Ovis aries: one gene and its partner. The protein of the gene in region 2 purifies or fractionates together with the protein of the main gene of each other region. This does not show direct contact. Links are inferred from orthologs where the notes say so. Each region holds a gene or a part of one and is shown on either strand. Other genes may lie near its edges.

Evidence for each region. Proteins that work in one complex are often made in the same cells at the same time.
Region 1: the proteins of SLC7A11 (region 2) and CD44 purify together in Homo sapiens (affinity purification with western blotting; 3 studies listed by BioGRID and IntAct, with this or other methods). This does not show direct contact. The link is inferred for Ovis aries from reciprocal best matches to the Homo sapiens genes SLC7A11 and CD44.

What each region holds. Positions count from the first base shown.
Region 1 is NC_056068.1:64,456,591-64,460,588, reverse strand, and holds the start of CD44 (CD44 antigen), read right to left. Parts: upstream 2,807-3,998; 5' UTR 2,681-2,806; coding exon 2,614-2,680; intron 1-2,613. UniProt on the Homo sapiens protein: Cell-surface receptor that plays a role in cell-cell interactions, cell adhesion and migration, helping them to sense and respond to changes in the tissue microenvironment.
Region 2 is NC_056070.1:19,478,633-19,482,143, forward strand, and holds part of SLC7A11 (cystine/glutamate transporter), read left to right. Parts: intron 1-2,798; coding exon 2,799-2,914; intron 2,915-3,511. UniProt on the Homo sapiens protein: Heterodimer with SLC3A2, that functions as an antiporter by mediating the exchange of extracellular anionic L-cystine and intracellular L-glutamate across the cellular plasma membrane.

The sequences.
Region 1 (3,998 bases), on a different chromosome or scaffold from region 2:
CTGGGGAACAACTGAATTAACTGATGCTAACCAACCTCAGCGGGAATGGAGGTTGGCTTCGTTGCTGCTTCTCCTGGGAAAACACAGCCAAAAGTCTAACTCCCAGAAAGAGGGGTCTCTAAGGCTCAGAGGGATCAGAAGGGTGCCAGCCACCCCCAAAGCCCCAGAGCTCTTAGCTGCACCCCTCTTTCTAAACACCAGGGGCACAATTCTCTAGCAAGGACCTCTCACCCACAGAGGACAGGAGGCAGGCAGGTATAGAGGGCTCACTTCACTGCTCTTTATCCAGGGTTACTTTCGTCCTTCCACGTGTGAAATGTAGTTCAACAGATCTGTTCTCCAACTTAGAGTTTGGGTCCAACGCTGCTTAATTGTATTTGGCTATGTCTCTACTTCTTGCTTTTCAGTATGAAGATCAGACCCTTTCTTCCTCCCCAAAGCCTTGCCACTTGCTGAAATGTCCACATTGTCCTCTGGAGCCCACCACCTTCGCTGGTGGGGCACCAGAAGAGTCTTCCCGCCTCCTCTTTGTCCTTCCTCTCTCTGCCAGCCCAGCCCGAGCCCACTGTTAACTCACATCTCCTTCCCAAGTCTCAGTTCCTTCCAAAGAGCTTAACAAGTGCATGAAAGCCTGGGCCCAGGCAGCTATCGCTACTGGCATTTTTTTGCGCTTCCTCCAAATGACGCTCCCCAAAGGGACCACGGAAACCCAGAGCAGGAGTAAGCCTGCCCATCTGGGGGGAAGGGAGGAACTTCAAGGGTCAGGACAGTGCCAAATATCAGGGGATGGGGCCCTTTAGAAGAATTTGCGCTACAGGATGGAAGGAGTCAGGAGTCGAAATCCTCAGAAGCAAAGCAGAAGATGCCCCAGGGAGGTAACATACAAATGGACTTCCTTATAGGCGAGAGAGAGAGAGAGAGAGAGAGAGAGAGAGAGAGAGAGACAGAGAGAGACAGAGAGAGACAGAGAGAGACACCAGCCTGGTTCCTCTTCCCTGAGGCCAGGCTCACAGCTCTCCCTGAAATCTTTCCCTGCTCTCTCCCATCCCAAGTCTCTCTGCCTTTCAAGAGATCCCTGGAGCTCCAGTTCCCCTTTGAAAGCCTCCTCTAAAGCCTCTGGTCCACCACCTCCTTCATAAAATCCTTTCTGAGTTTGTCCATATCACGCTGCTGTTTGTCCATATCATACATGCAGCTTAACCAGTGCTAACCAAGCAACAGGCAAAGAAGCTTGGTTCACAGAACCAGCAGTCTTCTGACTGTGTGAACACAGACAAGTCACTTAAGCTCTCTGAGCTTCGGTTTGCTGCCCTCCTGCAAAACGGGGCTAACGACAGGACACTTCTCAGTGGGCCATTGTTGAGGGTAAAACGAGATAACGCGTGTAAAGAATTTAGCACAGTGCCTGGCCCAGCCCAAATGTATAATAAATGGTGGCTGGTGCTGCCATTATGATTACTGTTAATTATTATTATTAATTATTACTTTTCTGATTCAGGAATCTAAATCCTAGACCCTCACTTATCCTCTCAGTCTAAAGTACCCCGGTAGGACTGTGTCTCTTACTTTCCTGGTACCCCCAGAGCTGGGTTTAATAAACACTTGCTGAGTAGAATTAACCATAGGTTGAGCTGTCTTAATGACCCAGCTGGCACTTCTTAAAAGAAAAATTAATTTTGCTAGCGATAAGCAAATCAGCCATGTAATTATCTGCACATATAAAGACAAAGAAAAGGAATGCTTGGAGTTCAGCCTTGCCAGAATACCTCACACGCAGCCACCCCCTCGACAGCCCCTGAGAAGAACGGACCCTGTGGGGATGGGATACAGGCGCCGGGATCCCTGATGCCACCCAGGAGCCTGCTTCTCTGTCCTGCTCCGAGGCTGCCAGGCACCCACTGGGAGCCACATGACTGTCTGGATTTCCCCTAACTGATTGGCAGCCTGCAGGAGGTTGCCAGGATGGAGCAGCTGGCCGAGTCACTGCCTATCCTACTCACACTCCCTGCCCCAGGCTGGCACCTCGTGGCGACCCAGAACCTTGCCACAGAGAAGGTTCAAGTTCCCACAAGCGTTAAGATTGTTCGTGACTGGAGCCAACTGTAAGAGCTTTGGAACCTAGGTGAAATGGGAGAGCCACAGGAACGCGGGACCCCATTCTGGGAAGCTTGTTGCCACCAACCCTCACAGAGGGCAACAGTGCCCACCTCTATGGCCACCTCGCTAGCACCCCTGTCCCTACCCCAGCCCCTGTCCCTGCCCTGCGCAGCCTGGCTTGAAGTGCCCTTGGGCACAGGAGTGTGTTAGTCCAGACAGGCTGCGCGCACCCAGGAGTACAGTTCCTTGTGCTCCACCGGCTCCAACCACCCCACCCCAAACCGCGCGCCAACAGCCTGCTGCCCAGCAAACTTTTCTGCGCCCTTTCTTTTTGCCGTTCCACAAAACGGTGCTTCCCAACGACAGGCTCTCCAAGAGCTTAGCGCAAATCCTCGCCCGGTCCTCCTTCGCCAAATCCCAGCCGCTCGCCGCCCACTTGACCCCGACCCCGCCAGGGCCAACGGAGCCCGCCCGGCTGGGTCCGGGCCACTCCCTCCCGTCCGGGCGGGCACTCACCGATCTGCGCCAGGCTCAGCTGCACGAGGCAGAGTCCCCAAGCTGCGCGCCACCAAAACGTGTCCATGGCGTCGGAGCGACCGACCGAGCGAGCGGAGTGGAGCCGGAGGGGCCGGGCGCTGGGCGGGGGCCGGCGAAGCACGGGGCAAGCAGGGCGCCCGAACCTGTCGGAGGCTGGGGTCCGGCTGGCAATGAGGGCGCCTCGGAAGTTGGGTGCAGTTTTTATTCGAGGGTTGAGAGTGACCTAAGAGGGAGGGAGCGAGGGAGGACACACCCAAGCGAGGGGGCTGTGACTAAGCAGCCCGCAGAAGTTTAAAGACGTACCAGCTCTCCTTAGCCCTGGCCCCTCCGCCCCCGCCCCGTTCTCCCCCGAGATAATAAAGCGGGGTGTCTGGGCGCGCACCCCGGAGGGCCGAGGGGGTCCCCGTGCACCCAGGACGCACCGACTTTTCTCTCCTGGCGGCTGGGAGCGCAGCCTCTGGACGCAGGAGGGAATAACTGAGTCCTGAAACCTCGCCCCTTTGGGTTCAGCCTCTGGCCTCTCCCCTCCGCGAAGTTTCTCTTTTGACTCAGGCTGGGGAACTCTTCTCTGTGGGTTTCACAGGCAGCTGGATATTCTGGGAGAGGGGCTGGGACCGTGGAAGTGTGGTTTTCCCCTGCGCATGGTCGGGAGCTTGCGATTCTTCCAGGGAAGGGAGGAAGAGCTCGTCGACCTTCCCTTGAAAGAGAAGGGAGTTCATTAACACGCTTCGGGTGGACTTTTGATTCTTAGCAGGACTGCTCAGGGAAAGCTAATGGTAGCCAGCCACGGGGCTGGTATTTGGCTCTACTGACCTGTACATCATCTTCCGGTCCCAGGCTGGCACCTGGTTCCGTCTATCCATTCCTCCTTGGCTTACTCACACTCTCACTCATCCTCCCAAACACCCACGGGTTCCTCTATCTACCCATTTTATCTTGTGTCTCTCCAGGGCTCACACATCTATTTACCCTCCTGTCCATCGGTATGCACTGACATGCACCCAGCCTCCTGTCCAGCCATTCTGTCTACCCATCCATCAACCACATCTTCTTCCAACCACCCTCCCATACAACTTCTCATCCATCTATTAATCTTTTCACATCTCTTTGTAAAGCCACATCCATCTATATACTATTCTCCCCTCCATCCATCCATACCCACATATCTGTTCATACATGTACTCACACATTATCTATCCATCCATCCATCCATCATCTACATATCCATTCATCATTTTACCCCTCCTCTCACCCACCCACACATCGATCCCTTCTTTCTTGGTCCCGTTTATATTCCTATCTACATGAATATTAATCCACTTTCTATCCTAATCTATTCTACTCAGCAAATCTCAGAAAAGGGA
Region 2 (3,511 bases):
AGACGCTTTACCACACACTGAGGATGAAATAGTGATTGATAAGCACACAGTCATACTCATGAAGCTCACGGTCAAGTGAGGGAAACAATTATCAATCAAGACATCGTGTAAGAGAATGAAAAGTTGCTACTGTGATACACATGTGAAAGGGGGGCTATGAAGTTCCACAAGAGAGAATACTCTGGGAGATCTAACGCAATTAGAGGACTGAAGAAGCTTCCTCGGGAAAAAGATTGAACTAAGACCTGAGGTATAAGAAACTGTCAGTGAGTTTCAGGGGTTCTAGGCAAAGGGCATCCATATCCTTCTAGTGGGAGAAAGCACACGGAAGAGGAAGGGAAAGTTTTGACCAGATGGAGCCTTGTATTGAAGGATTTTTGTGGATTCTGACTGTGTTTTGAAAGCACTAAAATGACATTATTAGATTTTAATTTACACATCAGAAATTTATAAATGATGGATAATTAGAAAAATGTCTTGTTGTGGTCAGGAGGAGATTGTCTTGGAAAAAAAAATCAAGAAATCTCACTACTGCACATCCACACTGAAGATATCATAATTGAAAAAGACACAGGCACCCCAGTATTTATCACAGCACTGTTTACGATAGCCAGGGTATGGAAGCAACCTAGAGGTCCATTGACAGGTGAATGGGTAAAGAAGATGTGGTGCATATATGCGATGGAACGTTGCTCAGCTGTAAAACAACACATGTGAGTCAGTGCTAGTGAGGTGGATGAACCTAGAGCCTGCTATACACAGTGAAGTCAGAAAGAGAAAAACAAATATCGTCTATTCACGCATATGAATGGAATCTAGGAAGATGGTACTGATAAATCTATTTGCAGGGTAGCAGTGGAGATGCAGACCTAAAGAACAGACTTATGGACATGGGGGAGGAGGAGAGTGGGGTGATTTGAGAGAGTAGCCTTGAAACATATTCATTACCACAGATAAAATAGATAGCCAGTGGGAATTTTCTATATGATGCAAGGAGGTCAAATCTGGTACTCTGTATCAACCTAGGGGAGTTGGGATTGGGTGGGAGCTGGGAGGGAGGTTCAAGAAGAAGGGGACAAAAAAAAAAAAAGAAGAAGGGGACATATGTATGCCTATTGATGCATGGCAGAAACCAATACAATATTGTAAAGCGGTTATCCTCCAATTAAAAATAAATAAATCTATCTTGGTTTCTAATACCAGCAGGTTAGGGTTGGAATACATAATAGTGGTTGGTTTCCTGACAATCTAGGTGTTAGACCTGGAGGTTGAGTAACCATGAGATGGAAGATAAACTAAAATGGAAGACTTGGCATGGGAAATTTAATAATTCCATTGACTTGCCTGTGTATCTAACAAACATGCATTCATATGCAGTATATTTAAACTGGAAAGGCCTGTGTCATTTTCTAACAGAAAATTGAAAAGCTAAAATAGAATCATTTGCCACCTGTTTTACTATATACCTGAACTTATTTCATTTTCTTATCTCATTCATGTTTTCTCTATTTATAAAATTACAAGACTAATTTTGTTTCTCAACACATACTTTTCACCTAAATATTTCTATGGAATTAAGAATAATCATTTGGCTTTTCAAGGTTTTTCTGTTTGGAAAAATCTAGACTAATACAATGTCAAGCATGTAAGCATATATTTGCAATGAACATTTATTAATAGTAATTTTTTAAAGTTGAGTTTTGTGTTCCTTTTCTGAACCCATTAGACTGTGCTGTTAACTCATCCCTACTCTGCTGGAGTTTAATTGTTGACTTACTGAGAAAGGAGACTACTTCTTGTATGGCCCAGCCCTATTGGATCTCAAGTAATAAACTAGATTTTTAAGCAAAAAGTTAAATATGGGAGGAAAGAAGAAAAACTGACAGCACTCAGCCTTGTTCCTAAGCAGATGTGAAGTTTAAAAACTAGCTACCAAAGTTGCAGACAGTATTTCATTTGGAATATCTGTGATGACCTAATCAAATATAGGCTAAAAACTCAACCTTCAGAAAACTAAGATCATGGCATCCAGTCCCATCACTTCTTGGCAAATAGATGGGGAAATGAAACAGTGACAGACTTTATTTTTCTGGGCTCCAAAATCACTGCAGATGGTGACTGCAGTCATGAAATTAAAAAATGCTTGCTCCTTGGAAGAAAAGCTATGACAAACCTAGGCAGCATATTAAAAAGCTGAGACATTACTTTGTCAACAAAGGTCCATCAAGTCAAAGCTGCGGTTTTTCCAGTAGTCATGTACAGATGTGAGAGTTGGACTATAAAGAAAGAATTGATGCTTTTGAACTGTGGTGTTGGAGTAGACTCTTGAGAGTCCTTTGGACTGCAAGGAGATCCAAATCTATCCTAAAGGAAATCAGTCCTGAATATTCATTGGAAGGATGCGCTGAAGCTGAAACTCCAATTCTTTGGCCACCTGATGTAAAGAACCTGGGAAAGATTGATAGAGGGAGGAGAAGGGGATGATAGAGGGAGGAGAAGGGGACAACAGAGTATGAGATGGTTGGATGGCATCACTGATGCGATGGACATGAGTTTGAGGAGGCTCCAGGAGTTGGTGATGGACAGGGAAGCCAGGCGTGCTGCAGTCCGTGGGGTCACAAAGAGTCAGACATGGCTGAGTGACTGAACTGAATCAAATATAGAGTTCTGAAAAATCATAGACTTCTCTATTTAATATGTTCCGTATGCTGAGTAACAGTACCTCAAGGTAGAAAAGGTTAGTGAAAGTGCTACTTTTTTTTTTTCCTGTGGTTAACCTAAATATGCATTTCTTCTAGCCCTGCAGCCACTGCTGTGATATCTCTGGCATTTGGACGCTATATTCTGGAACCATTTTTTATTCACTGTGAAATTCCTGAACTTGCGATCAAGCTCATTACAGCTGTGGGCATAAGTGAGTATCGTAGGTATAAATATGAAAAAGAAAACAGTCCCTACAAAAGTTATTGGAGACAAAATTTCTAGAGACTTTTTGCATGGTGGTACTACTCCTCACATGGTGGTGTTCTTGCTTACAACTGCTTGCCAGATTTGTGTTGGAAAATAAAGAAAAGAATAAGGGTTTGGAGTGATGCCTGATACAACATTACAAGCCTATTTTGTATTGGGTCAATAGATGTGATGGCTAATCTTTTAAAATAGGCAAACAAAACCACCTTGTTAGTAAATTAGTAACTTGATTGTGCCTAAAAAGAGACTTTTACAAGTGAAAACCCAATTTTAAAATGGGTGTTCTGAATTATAAAATATCCTTCCTTAGCAAAAACATGTAGAAGTATAAGGCACTTACCCTCATGGAATGGTGTGTGTGTGTTGGGTGTATATGTTGTGTTCATGAATTTTCTAGTGTTACCACCTGCCACTCTGTTCGGATTTTAGCTGTCCGTTGACAGTCACTAGACTCTTCTTCCAACGTTTGATTATTAGTGGCATTTCTCAACAGAGAAGGCAATGGCAACCCACTCCAGTACTCTTGCCTGGAAAATCCCAT